Ovis aries: one gene and its partners. The protein of the gene in region 1 purifies or fractionates together with the protein of each later gene. This does not show direct contact. Links are inferred from orthologs where the notes say so. Each region holds a gene or a part of one and is shown in the gene's direction. Other genes may lie near its edges.

Evidence for each region. Proteins that work in one complex are often made in the same cells at the same time.
Region 2: the proteins of ENO1 (region 1) and PARK7 fractionate together in Homo sapiens (co-fractionation; 3 studies listed by BioGRID). This does not show direct contact. The link is inferred for Ovis aries from reciprocal best matches to the Homo sapiens genes ENO1 and PARK7.
Region 3: the proteins of ENO1 (region 1) and TPI1 fractionate together in Homo sapiens (co-fractionation; 4 studies listed by BioGRID, with this or other methods). This does not show direct contact. The link is inferred for Ovis aries from reciprocal best matches to the Homo sapiens genes ENO1 and TPI1.

The regions. Positions count from the first base shown.
Region 1 is NC_056065.1:43,925,165-43,929,279, forward strand, and holds part of ENO1 (alpha-enolase), read left to right. Parts: intron 1-2,369; coding exon 2,370-2,465; intron 2,466-3,721; coding exon 3,722-3,780; intron 3,781-4,115. UniProt on the Homo sapiens protein: Glycolytic enzyme the catalyzes the conversion of 2-phosphoglycerate to phosphoenolpyruvate. In addition to glycolysis, involved in various processes such as growth control, hypoxia tolerance and allergic responses.
Region 2 is NC_056065.1:44,773,824-44,778,544, reverse strand, and holds the start of PARK7 (Parkinson disease protein 7), read left to right. Parts: upstream 1-1,490; 5' UTR 1,491-1,564; intron 1,565-2,420; 5' UTR 2,421-2,489; coding exon 2,490-2,579; intron 2,580-4,157; coding exon 4,158-4,259; intron 4,260-4,721. UniProt on the Homo sapiens protein: Multifunctional protein with controversial molecular function which plays an important role in cell protection against oxidative stress and cell death acting as oxidative stress sensor and redox-sensitive chaperone and protease.
Region 3 is NC_056056.1:209,419,462-209,424,183, reverse strand, and holds the start of TPI1 (triosephosphate isomerase), read left to right. Parts: upstream 1-1,491; 5' UTR 1,492-1,495; coding exon 1,496-1,721; intron 1,722-2,849; coding exon 2,850-2,973; intron 2,974-3,088; coding exon 3,089-3,173; intron 3,174-3,252; coding exon 3,253-3,385; intron 3,386-3,659; coding exon 3,660-3,745; intron 3,746-4,129; coding exon 4,130-4,217; intron 4,218-4,348; coding exon 4,349-4,467; 3' UTR 4,468-4,722. UniProt on the Homo sapiens protein: Triosephosphate isomerase is an extremely efficient metabolic enzyme that catalyzes the interconversion between dihydroxyacetone phosphate (DHAP) and D-glyceraldehyde-3-phosphate (G3P) in glycolysis and gluconeogenesis.

The DNA.
Region 1 (4,115 bases):
AAAGGAAAGAGATTAAGGCAATGGCAGCCAACTCCAGTACTCTTGTCTGGAAAATCCCATGGAGGGAGAGCCTGGTAGGCTGCAGTCCATGGGGTCGCTAAGAGTCGGACACAACTGAGCAACTTCACTTTCACTTTTCACTTTATGCATTGGAGAAGGACATGGCAACCCACTCCAATATTCTTGCCTGGAGAATCCCAGGGACACAGGAGCCTGGTGGGCTGCCATCTATGGGGTCACACAGAGTTGGACATGACTGAAGCGACTTAGCAGCAAGGGTATATGTAGCGCTCTATGTTGGGACATTCCAGAGGCTGGTATTTTTACCTGGCTCTAAGTCCACATAGGAAGAATTTGCCCACATTTGAAAAGGATAGAATGGGACCCCCTTAAAATATCCCCTCCTTAATCTTTTTTTAATTTAAGAAAATCTGGTGCTTCCCTACCCCTTGTGTTACCTCTAGCAACATCTCAGCCATTTTCTGAATGGCCCAAGTGCGTGAAGTTGGAAAGGGAGCTTCAGGCAGAGAGGCACCGAGTGGTGCCGAGCACAGACCTGCCAGTCAGAGCTGAGTCATGGTCTGAATCACAGGCCTGGCAGAGGAACCTCCAGCCCATCCCTTCCTGTCCTGCCTTCCCCCTTGCCCAGAAAGTGAAGGCCCCTCAAGTGTAGATTCATCCAGCAGAAGTCTACCTGTGGTTACGGTGGGGGTTGCCATGAGAACACCATTGCTTCTGGGCATGTGCCTTGTGGATTCTCCAAAGATTGCAAGAATTTCCTTTCAGTTTATGAGAATGGCTCACTTAGAGAGTGGAACTTTCCACTTGGAAATTAATGGACTTTGAACAACGAAAAAAGACCCAGGATGCTAGAAGATTGTTGAAAAGGAGGCATTTTCTTTGAAATTCTTTAAAATGACTAAAATTAATGTCTTTTAACATTTAAATGAATGGAACTTTCTCTTATGTGTCTTAATCCTTTTCAGAAAGAAAAAAAAAGCCAGGAAATCATAAATTTGTTAAGAACCTTTCATCACTTCTTTCTTTCTTAGAATTTATTTTTTAGGCCAGTTTTAGGTTCACAGCAAAATCAAGTGGAAAGTAGAGTGTTCTCATCTATCCCCCATCCCCACCATCAACACTCTAAGCTGAGCAGTAGTTAGAGTCAAACCTGCATTGATACGTTAACACCCAAAATCCATAGTTGACCTTCTTCGCCTAGACTAACCTTTGTTAGAGTCAAGCCTGTATTGACTTGTTATCAGCCAAAGTCCATAGCTGACCTTAGAGTCACTCTTACTTCCATCGCGTCTTCACCTCATCCAGAGCTGATGGATACAGAGAAAGCCAGGGGCTGGATACAAAGAACATGTGGCCTGCTGCTCACATAGTCGTGTGGTGACCCAAGCATGTAACCAAGTGTTACTGAGATACTTGGTTGGTTTTTTCCTCTTGAGTTGCCCTCACATCCCTGCACTCGCCAGTTCTCAGAGGGGAAATCCCTGATAGTTTCAAGAAGGCTGCCTGCACTTCCTGCTCCCCTAACCCTGTCTGCCCCATGTAACCGGATCTCTGCAGTACCTTTCCTGACCCCGTCTGTCCTCCAAGGACAGCTGCCACTTTCTGCTCCATAGTCTAGGCTTAGCCAGGCGGCCGGTTTCTGTATCTGCGGGACTGTGATTGGGTTCTAGTGTCATTAACTCTGCGCCTTTGTTGTCCTTATTCCTTTTCTCTTCCAGCCTGTCCTGTTAGGCAGAGAACCTCCAAATAGCATTCACTGCTGCCTGAGCAGAGGCACATGAGCTGTAGAGATTCCTCTTGAGCCATCGCCTTCCAAACTTGAAAGCTAGCAACGTGATCTCAGTTGTCTAAGGGAAGCTTAGCAACAGTGCTCTCTAGCAGGACTGTCTAAAATAGCTTGGTGTTTCCATGGGTTACTAGCTCCTAGAACATGACAAATCCCGCAAGTGGATTCATGGTGCTTCTGTTGGACTGTGTGGCTGGGTGTGGTCCATGGGCCAGCGGCAGGGCACCACCTGGGAGGTTTCAGAGATGCAGACTCAAATGTCCTGTCATGCCTCAGGAGCTGCATTTTAACCCACAGGTGCTGTGTGCGCATGTTAAAACTGGAGAAGCTCTGCTCCGGACCTTTCTCTTTAAACTAGAGAGATTCATCAGCTCTGCTGTAGGGTCTTCGGTATAAAGTCATAAAACCACGGGAGGCAGGAGGAACAGCCATCTGAGTCTCCCCGATGTTGGGAGGAAGTGACCATTTCCGGAGGGCCGATGCCCTCTGTGCCGGGAGGGATCTGGGAGCTATTGCCTAATCATTAGTAAACATTTTCCCCCTTCCCTTTCTCAACATCCAGGTCTCTTCAGAGCTGCTGTGCCCAGTGGTGCCTCAACTGGAATCTATGAGGCCCTGGAGCTCCGAGACAATGATAAGACGCGCTACATGGGGAAAGGTGAGCACAGACCCAGGCCAGCTCGGCGCTGGCTGATGGATGCCAGGGCCCCTGAGCCTGTAACCCAGGGCAGGCAAAAAGTTTCACTCTTCTTTCTCCTGCGATTTGTCTCCAGTCGTGAAGAACTCCTGGTTGGGCCAGGGAACGAGGGAGAAGAAGACACGTTAGCTAGTGCTCAGGAGAAGCCTCTCATCCTCCAGGAGGGCTCTGAGGGCCTTCCCAGCCGGCGGGCCTCTTCCCGAGGTGTGGTCTCAGGGGTTGGAGGCTGCCGACTCGTGATGGATAGAGCAGTCGTTGTCTCTCTAACAGAGCCGGCCTCTGGTGGTCCTGTGCCCATGTTCACCTTTCTGCAGATAGAACCCCAAACCCCAGAGGCCAGGTCGCAGAAAGGCAGATGGGGCTGGACTGCATTCTCCACGGAGTGGTGTCACCCCAGGGATGGGAATCGGTTCTGGAGAGAAGGCAGGAGCACAGGCTGTGTCATGGGTCGTGGCCCTCCCAAGGGCCACCCTGTAAGGAGGTGGAGGGCACGAGTGGGCTGCCAACTTTCCAGGGGAGGGAGCGGAGGAAAATAGTCTAGGGACACTGCATTGGAAGGGCAACAGCGAACGAGGTCAGGTTGAGGGGGACACAGGGCCAGGGTCAGAGCGGCTCCACTGCAGGCGGCAGCGTCTGTAAAGAGCTCTCCTGAGGGGTCTCGCTGGCAGCCCAGGTAGACGCCTGCCCAGGGCAGGAGGACCACGCCCCACCCCAGTTATGATGAGGACGAATGCATGGTCCCCCCGCCTTCTCCACACCTTCCTGTTTCCTCTTTCTCTCACTCAGCGTCCTTCACAAACCTGTTCTCTTCTGAGTCTTTCTTTTTTCCTTCTCTGTCAATCTCTGCTGGTCAGGTGTCTCCAGACCCGTTAAGTATATTAACGAGTTCCTGGCACCAGCCTTGTGCACACAGGTAATACACGGGGCGTCCTTTAGCCTCTGCGGCTGGCCTGTCCCGTGCATGCTCTTGCCAACTAACCTCCCTTCAGACACTGTTTGGCGGCTCTGTGTGTGGCTCTAACTCCTGGGGGTCCTAGGTAAGAGCACTCAGACTGGGCCAGAAAGCCCTCCGATTCCAGGGGGAGAGAGCCAGGGGTCCCGTTGAAGGTCTCTGGTGGGCTCTGAATATCTGGGTGAATATGGTGAGCGGTTCTCCAGCAGTGCTGCTCAAGCCTCTCTCATCAGCGTCGGTAATTTGATTTGATTATTCCTTCTAGGTGTCTCAAAGGCTGTTGAGCACATCAATAAAACTATTGCGCCTGCCCTGGTTAGCAAGGTAGGACCTGCCTCCTGATGACTAATGTATATTAATGCTATCAGAGCGCCGCCCAGTCCAGGCCGGGGGGCTTCCCTGTTTACAGAAGAGCTTATTCTGAGAGCTAAAGAAGCCGGTGGGCTTCCCTGCATGCGAATTTTGGCCTTTGCTGACCCGCCCTCTGCCTGCGTGGCCATGTCTAACAGAGCATGGAACTGGATCTGAGGGTCAGGAGGCTCCAAGAGCCTTGATGTTCCCCAGCAATGATCTTGACCTCTTGGGAGTTAAGATCAGATTTTAAGGGTGGCTCCCAGGGGTGTTGAATGTAGTACCTGTGGTGACTGACTCATTTTTCA
Region 2 (4,721 bases), about 850 kb from region 1:
CTGTAAGGCGAATGCAGAGAAAAAGAGAGCGAACCAAGCATTCAGGCAAGAAAAGAGAAATTTATTAGAGGGAAATGAGAGGTAGACTGGCCCTTGAGGAGAACCATTGTCCTCCCTTTCTGATGGGGTCTTTCTTATACGCCACCAATGAAAAATTTTCTGAAGGGATGGTTAACTTTTAGCCTGTAGTTGAGTCCTGGAGTCACGTAGCTGGAGGTCTGGAATCTGGTGGTCTTAAACCAGAATGTTATTTGGGCAATTTGGTCAGTCTCAAGGATCACTGTGATTTTATTCTTTGTTTGTGAGGGCAACACAATGAGCCATGTTAACAATGAGACCCCCACCCCCACCAGCAATGTGGGCCTTATCACTTCACGAAAGAGCCGCGTAACAAATTTTATTAAGAAACTGCCACGGCCACCCCCAACCTTCAGCAAGCATCACCCTATACTGTCAGTCATCAATATCCCAGGTTCCACCAGCAAAACTCTTCATCAGGAAAAAGATAGGACTCACCAGCTCAGTTGATGGCTAGCATTTTTTAAGGAATACTTTTAAAATAAAGCATATACTGTTATTAAGACATAATCCTATTGCATACTTTAACAGGCTACATATAACTTTCATCCCTGGAGAAACCCACTCCAGTATTCTTGCCTGGAGAATCCCATGGATGGAGGAGCCTGGTGGGCTACAGTCCATGGGGTCGCAGAGTCGGACACGACAGAGCGACTTCACTTTCACTTTCTATAACTTTCATGATGCACTAGAAAACCAAAAAAACTGTGGTCTGAAACCCAATCTAGTGTCCCTGACTTCGGTGTTCAGCTCCTATTCAAATCCTGTCGATGCAGTATTAAACTCTACTAAAAATACTATTTTGAGAACCAAATACACGTGAAATTAGCCACTAGCCAAATCAGTCACAGAGGAATTGGGGAGACCTTAAGGAGTCATAACAGAGCGGAGGTGACTGGACAACGCCCGCCAAGAAACAGAACAATGCAAAGAAAGCCCCTAGGACACAGAGGAAGCAAGAAGGAACTATTTTATTTTGTGAAAATGCGGGTTTAAAGCAAGCCCACGCAGCTCTCCAGACGAGCACAGCGAAAAACGTCTGGCTTGCGGCATGAAAAACGGGTTAAATTCAGCGCGCGCTGGGGGCACGCTGGGCCGTCCCTCGGATGCGGGAGATTTCGGGAGAATGCGTGAGTTTAGAAGATTCCGCTTTCTCTTGTTCCAAATGGAACCAGGCCTAGGCGTACAATCTACACGCAGAAAGGCAGGAGGTACCGCACGTCCCCCGAGGTTAGTTCGGCCGGATATGACATCACGTGGGGCGAGCTACGTGGGTTTGCGCAGTGCGGGGCTGAGGAGCCAGGCAGGGCGGCGCGCGCCTGCGCAGTGCGGGGCTGAAGACCAAGCCTGACAGCGCGCGTGCGTGCCGGCGTGCGCGCTTGCTGCGTCCCGGGTTGGTGCGGTACCGGCCCAGTCGTCACCGGCGCAGAACTGCGGACGGAACGGGCCGAGGCTGGCCGTCTGTGGGAAGAGAGGCGAGGTTCAGGTCTGGGCCATGGGGAGCGCAGCGCAAGCTCGGGCCGTGGGGGCACGGGCCGCCCGCTGGACCCCTAGAGGGTCCCCGAACCGGGGCGGACCCGGCCTGTGTCTAGCCGCGTCTGAGGAGGATGCGGTCTCCCAGGGTTCGCAGAGGGCGCCGTTCGCTCGCCAGCATAGTAGCAACGCTGAAGCTTCTAGAATTTGCCTGCATAACATCGCACCAGCTTGGAGCTAGTTAATCTTGTTTTTTTGACATCGTTTACTAAAATCTGTGTTGCATGCGAAACAAAGTCCAGAAAAATAGGCTAACAGCAATTCAGACCCCGGCATAGCGGCCGTCGTTTACAACGAGAGCTAAGTGCGAAGAATCTATCAGGATTGAGTGTAGCATGGGGGAATTACCATTTTTCTCCGTTTTTCTTTTTTTTTAAGCGTGTTCAAATATGTAACACTGTTAACCGCCCCCGAGAATTAAGTGCAGTTACTGGAACTAAAAAATAAAATCCCCTCCAAAAATCTCGGGGTGATTGCTAAAGACAGTATTTCTTTTTTTATCCATGAAGTTCAGTCTTCTCTGTAAAATAGTACTTGAAAAAAGGTGGTTTTGTATTTCTCTCTCCCTCTTGGAAAGCTTCATTTACAATATATTAGAAATTAGATTTTTATAAACGTGATGAAATCTGAACAGTAACCAACGTGCTGGCAATCTTGCTGTGATGTCATCTCAAAAAACAGGAACTGAAATTCTGTTTAAGTCAGTATTAACCAAATAATGCTGTTTTATTGTGTTTGCCTATCAAAATCTTTTCCCTGGGAAGCACTTGGTTACTCTGCTTAACAGTGTTCCTTAATCTTGTTTTTAGGTCTTGTACACTTGCAGTGAAAGTTTCTTGAAAATCTTGTTTTGAGTCTTTAATAAATACAACATAAAAATGGCTTCAAAAAGAGCTCTGGTCATCCTGGCTAAAGGAGCCGAGGAAATGGAGACAGTTATCCCTGTAGATGTCATGAGACGAGCTGGAGTAAGTCCCTCAAAGTTTTTTAGCCCTCCTCTGTTTGAAAGCATTTTTGGATTCTTATAAGTAATTTTGGATAAAGTAGTGTTGAATGTACTTTCTGAAATATTTCAAACATACGCAACAGTACAGAGGCTGTGTAATAATTATCTGCAGTTTAATATTGTTAACATTTTACTGTATTTCTTTCAGACCTGTTTCTTGAAGATACAGATGCTTTAGAGGAATAAACATTGCAAAGCTCTCTTTATTTCCCTAATTCAATTCCCTTTCTGGCCCCAGAAATAACTGCTTTCCTCACAGTGATGTGAATCCAGCCCAAGCGTGTCTAAAGTAACATTAGACTGTGGTTCTCACTCTGCATATCCGCATTATGAACCTTTATACGCCCACATAACCATAGTGAATGCTTACGTAGCCTTGACGGAATGGTGGATGCCATTCTAAGCACTTATACTAGTTTTTAAAACCTTAAAACCATCCTAAGAGTTATTGCCAACCTCATGTTACAGTTGAAGAAACAGGCGGAGAAGCAGTCAGTCAGTGAATCAAATATTTAAATAAGTGAACTAGTCACATTCTAGTAAAGAATATAGATGCAGTTTATTTAAAATTGCTGCTTAGTATTGCACTATGGGAATATGCCCAGTCTCCATTCCTCTATTGCATTGTTTTACAGCATTATAGTGCTGTAATACTCTTTTTTTTTTTTTTTGGTCGTTCTGGTTTTATTGAGATATAATCAACATATAGCATTGTGTAAGTTTAAGGTGTACAGCATACTTAAATCTATCATGAAATGATGACCACAATAAGTTTAGTGAATATCCGTCATCTTGTATCAATACGAAAGTAAAGAAGTAGAAGAAAAATATTTTTTCCTATGATGAGAACTCTTAGGAATTACTCTTAAAAACTTTTGCATATTACACACAACAGTATTAATTGTACCTATCCTGTTGTACATTAGTTTCTAATGCTTACTTATCTTATAGCTGAACATTTGTAATATTCTTGTGCAGGTTTTTCTTGTTTAAAGATATGAAAGTTTTTCTAGGCTCTGAGCCTAAAAGGAATTACTACTTGCATATATGATGTTACTAGATTTTGTCAAGTGACTCTCCAAAGTACTGATATGTGGGCCCACCAGCAGTGAGGAAAATTCCTATTCTCAGTATTGTCAACTTTGTGAATTTTTGCAGGGCAGCAGAGTAGTATTTCATTGTCTTAACTTGCATTTCTACCTTATGAAAATACCAGGAGGGTTAAATGGCAACAGCAACTTTGCAAGCTGTTTTATCGGTAGGATGATCATATGATTTATCACACAGACAAGAACACTTGTGGAAGAAAGGAGGCTAAGCAGATGGGGTACTGGGACAGCATCTTTAATTCATACTGTCAGACAAACTGGGACAGATCTAGTGGTTAAATAATATTTAGCCAACTTAATAACCTAAAGTCAGCATGGTTTTGTTGCAGTATTTCTTGCCAGGTTATTTTAAAACACAGGCCAGCTGTGAAAATGTTACTCTAAATTTATGTTCAGTGTTCTTAAATATCATGATGACGTCTTTCTCTTAGATTAAGGTCACCGTCGCAGGTCTGGCTGGAAAAGACCCGGTACAGTGTAGCCGAGATGTTGTCATTTGTCCTGACGCCAGTCTGGAAGATGCAAGAAAAGAGGTTTGTTCTCTAGACTTGGGATCGTTCCTTCTTACTGCTTCTTTATCAGTTTCTTGAACTCTGTCTTAACTACATCTGAAACTGTAATTAGCACAGCCTTGTTTTAAGAAAGTTACTTTGCTTGGAGGTCTTCAGCACTAAATTAAGCCCTGGGAATTGGAGAACTTTGCCTTTTTCCACTCTGTATCCTCAGAACCTGGCAGGTCCCTGACCTCATGTGCTTGGTGTGGGCGGGACACCATCACTAATGTTCTGGCTCATACAGGCAGCCTTGCCTCCTTCTGTAACTACATTACTTAGTATGAGAGTCACCTGCACATTTCCCATTCATTTCTTACCCTTTATTCGAAAGCTGCTTCTTATCTTTCCTTTATCAGTGACACAGATGTGGGGTTGTGTGATTCATTTTACACGGAATAACTCATACTTGATTTGTGGTTGGATTAAAGGAGGAGTGAGTTC
Region 3 (4,722 bases), on another chromosome or scaffold:
AGGGCGCCCCGGGGACAGACTGCCCAGCATGAGGAACGGGGCTGAGGGATGGACGCCTCCCTGCTCGGTACCCCTTTTCTTTTCGTCCCCAGCAGCAGGGAAGAAGCTAGAGGCCAGGAGAGAATGGCTAGGCAAAGCGTGGGGTGGGGGGGCTCCGGGGAGACCTTGGGAATGGAGTCGGAGGGGGCTGGAGGGGCCGGCCGCCTGTCTGTGAGGAGACTGTTGCTTCCCTGCCCTTGACCCCACAGTGCTCTGCTTCTCTGTGATCCCGCCTGCCCGGTGTGGAGCGGGCTTGTTCGTGTGTGTGCGTGGGTGTGGGTGGGCGTGTGTGTGTGTGTGTGTGTGGCGTGGGTGTAGCTTTGTGCCGCCTCCTCCACCAAGGGGGTTTCTGTGCCTCCCCTGCCCCTTTGTGTGTGCTCCCCGTGTGGCGGGGCCAGGAGGGATGTGAGGGAAATGGGAGCCAGCCCCCCTCGCCCTCCCGCCTCAGTCTTTGCCCCACCCTGTCTCTCCCTGTCCTACTCTGGAAAATGCCAAAATACAGGATGTGAATAAAAGTACAGTGGCTCAAGCGTGTCCTGTTTGATATCTCGGGGGAGACTGTCTTTCCTGGGTTAGCAGGAGGGTCAGGTTTTGAGAACTGCGGGCCCTGCTCCTCCATGCCACTCTGCGCCCCCTGCCTGCCCCCCTGGTAGGCAGTTCTATACTTTTTACTGCTCTTGGGAAATTGGGGGCTGAGTGAGGTGCTCACAGGGGCAGGAGGGGGAGCCTGAGGGGTGGGGGCTGTCAGATGCAGGGACATGGAGGAGGGCCACGTGAGAGGGGGCCCAAGTGGGTTCTTCTCGAGTGTCCCCAGGTGCCCAGTGGGGAGCCCTGGGCACCAGGCCTTGCAGTCCCTTGTCTGGCCCTGGCCGCTGGAGCAAAAAGTGAGGTACTCCTAGGGGCAAGGCAGACCTCTGAACTGCCTCTTTAGTCGCTGCGCGGTGTCCAGCCCACGTGGGTCGTCCCTCCGCCTGTGAACCCTGTTACTTGCCCAGTTAACTGTGGGGCTGGGCCGGCCCTGGGTAGGTCAAAGGTGCCTGCTCAGCAGTCAGGGATGTGGCCGCTCCGATGGGGGCAGGGGGGGGTTCCTTCTCCCGGAGTTGGAAAGATGCCCCTCACGGCTCTGAGGCCAAGCCTTGGAGTGGAGTGGAGTGTCCAGGCCTTCAGCCAGCCAGCGAGCGCCCCTGGGGATCCTTCTAGCCCTCTGCGGGGTGGGGGGCTGAAACCGTGAAGCGGGGGTTCTGAGCGCGGGGCGCACAGTTCGCGCCTTCTCCCCAAAGTAAGGCAATTCAAGCTGAAAGCGACCCAAGCGAGCCCGCGACGGCCGTGGAACGTTGCTACAAGAAAGGGGGTAACGTCAGAACCTCGCAACGCCGGCGGCGGGCGGGATCCGGGGCAGGGCTGCGGCGGGCGGCGGGCGGGGCCGGGGGCAGGGCTCCCGCGGACCGGGCCAGCCATGGACGAGGACGCAGAGGGGGCGGGTTTCTGCATCTCCGCGCTCTATATAAGCGGCCAGTGGAAGCGGGGGCGCGCTGCTCCTGACCTTCAGCGTGCCTGCTCCTTAGCCATGGCGCCCTCCAGGAAGTTCTTCGTTGGGGGGAACTGGAAGATGAACGGGAGGAAGAACAATCTGGGGGAACTCATCAACACTCTGAACGCGGCCAAGGTGCCGGCCGACACCGGTGAGCCCTGGCCGGGGAGGACTGGGGTGGGCAGTCGGGCGTGGTCGCCCTCTCCGGAACTCTCTTAGCCCGGGTCCGCGTGGCCCTGCGTGCAGGGCTGGGGTCCAGGACTGTCGGGATCTGGGCCTGAGCTCCGCGGCCGCTGAAGCGGGGGTGTTTCGGCGGGGAAAGGCGGGGCCGCATCTCACGGTGCCCTCTGGCTGTGGGTCCTGGGGAGGAGGGTGGCCCCGGGGCGCAGACGGGGCCTGCACCGGCTGGGACTGAAAGGTGAGCCCAGCCCCTGCGGGCGATCGGGAGAGGCCAGCGGCTGCCCGGTGCGTGGGGGTGGAGGCTGCCTGACGGCTCCGGCTGCCCCCTGGGCGCGGGCTCCGTGCGCCGCCGCACGTAGCCCGCCGGAGACTCCTCCCCGCGCCTTGCCGGGTCGGCAGAGTTCCCCTACCGAGCCGCGTCAGCCTCCTGAGCTATCGCTCCGATTCAGCCCGCTCGGCGGCCTGTAGGACTCCGGCCTTCCGTGGAAAGGGGTAGAGCCATTTGGGAATGAGGCGCGCTCCTACCGTTATCTCCAGCCTAAAAACGGGAAAGCGCAAGGCCTCTAGGAGCTGGTCGACTCGCTGCTACCCACGGCCTGCGTCCTTGTCCCCTCACCCACCTAAGTCACAGAACCTCGGGGCTGATCAAGAGGCATCCCCTTGTGGTTTATTCTCCCAAAGACCTTAGTAAAAACCCCAGGAGTTGGCTCCTTCTGCTTTTGCTGAAAATCCTGGCCTGGCCTGGGGGAGGTGGGGATGGGCTATTTTAGAAGGGAGGCGGGGTTGGCCCCCAGAGAATGCTGAGTCTAAGAGGTGCCCAGGCCCAGAATAGCCTGGGGAAATCAGAGCCACAGCTGCTAAAGAGCAGAGGGCAGGGCAAGGGCCATGGCCTCTCAGGGCTACCTGGGAGGCTCAAAGACTTGGGTACAGGCCCAGCCTGGGCTGCAAAGTGGACAGAGATGATCGTGCTGGGGTGAAAAAGCGCAAAAGCAGAACTAAGAAAGTGGTGAAGGCGAAGGGACTCTGGAGCACGGGATGGGGTCTGGTGAATGAAGATTTCCTTGTGATCTCATCCTGTCTGTCACCATCTCATCCTCAGAGGTAGTTTGCGCACCCCCCACCGCCTACATTGACTTCGCTCGGCAGAAGCTAGATCCCAAGATTGCCGTGGCTGCGCAGAACTGTTACAAAGTGGCCAATGGGGCCTTTACAGGGGAGATCAGGTAAGATGCTAGTGGCAGAGGGGTGGGAGGGGGACCCCCAGCCCTCACTGTCCTTATGGAGGGGACAGCGACAGGGTGGGCTCCTTGCTGAACCACGGCTTTTCTCTTCCTTTAGCCCTGGCATGATCAAAGATCTTGGAGCCACGTGGGTAGTCCTGGGGCACTCTGAGAGAAGGCATGTCTTTGGGGAGTCAGATGAGGTTAGTAACGGGGGAGGGGGGAGGAGATGAGGGCTGGCTTGTTCCTAGACGGGTGCTCACCAAGTCTGTTCCTCAACAGCTGATTGGGCAGAAAGTGGCCCATGCCCTGGCAGAGGGACTTGGAGTGATCGCCTGCATTGGGGAGAAGTTAGATGAGAGGGAAGCTGGCATCACTGAGAAGGTCGTTTTCGAGCAAACCAAGGTCATCGCAGGTATCTCTGGAGAAAGGGGCCTTTGAGCCCAGGGCTATGAGACGCAGAGGGTGGGGTCGGATGCCCTGCAGCCTGAGCCTGTCTGGTGCTGATGCAGGAAAGGGGAGGGTGGGAATCCTGTATCCTTCCTATTACTTCTACTCCTGCCTCTAATGTCACTTTCCCATAGTAGCCACCAGGGGGCAGTAGGCCACCAGCACTCTTATTCTCTAGGAAACAACTGGTTATGTTCTTCCTTGTTTTCACCCTGCCACCTGTGATCTCTGTCCCACAGATAACGTGAAGGATTGGAGCAAGGTTGTCTTGGCCTATGAGCCTGTGTGGGCCATTGGTACTGGCAAGACGGCGACACCCCAACAGGTAACCAAGCCCAGGAGCCCTGTCCTCATCCTCCCCTGTCTTGATAGAACTGGATGGCCACAGCGACCACCTGGGCCAACCCATTTAAAAGACAGGAGAGGGACTTCCCTGGAGGTTAAGCCTCCGCTGCAGGGGGCACTGGTTTGACCCTAGTCAGGGAACTAAGATCTCGAATGCTACATGTCAATCCTGCATGCTACACGTGAAGACTAAATAAATAATAAAAGGAGAAAAGAGAGTTACTTGTCCCAGGATACTCATTCCAGGGCCTGGGTGGGATCGAAGCCCCAGGGTTCTTGCCTGCAAACCACATTGCCTGTCTCCACTGGAGCCCAGTGTTTTTTCCCCAGTGAATGGAGGTCTTAGTCTGACTTCTTGTTCTAGGCCCAGGAAGTACACGAAAAGCTCCGGGGATGGCTTAAGTCCAACGTCTCTGATGCAGTGGCTCAGAGCGCCCGCATCATTTATGGGGGTAAGTGGGTTTGGCTCCAGCCTGAGGTGGGGTGGGCTGAGAACCAGACCGAGCCCTCCTTCAACCTGGAGGCCGGCGTGGAGTACCCCCATCTCATCGCTGACCAGTCCTGCTCTTGTCTCCCTTCCCAGGTTCTGTGACGGGGGCAACCTGCAAGGAGCTGGCAAGCCAGCCTGATGTGGATGGCTTCCTTGTGGGCGGTGCTTCCCTCAAGCCTGAGTTCGTCGACATCATCAATGCCAAACAATAAGCCCTGTCCATCTCCGTTACCCTTCCTGCCGAGCCAGGGACTAGGTAGCTCAGAAGCCCAGTAACTGTACTGCCCCCCGACCTCCACACACGCTTCTTGTGGTGTCGCCTGACCCCTCTCGTGGCCGAATCCAGTGCACCTCTTCGTTTACCGTTCACACCCTACCTTGTTGTGGTTGGGACCAGAACCATCCCGCCTCCACTTACTGTACCCGTTGGAACTAAACCTGTCACCAAGGTGGCTTCTTCTTGGCTG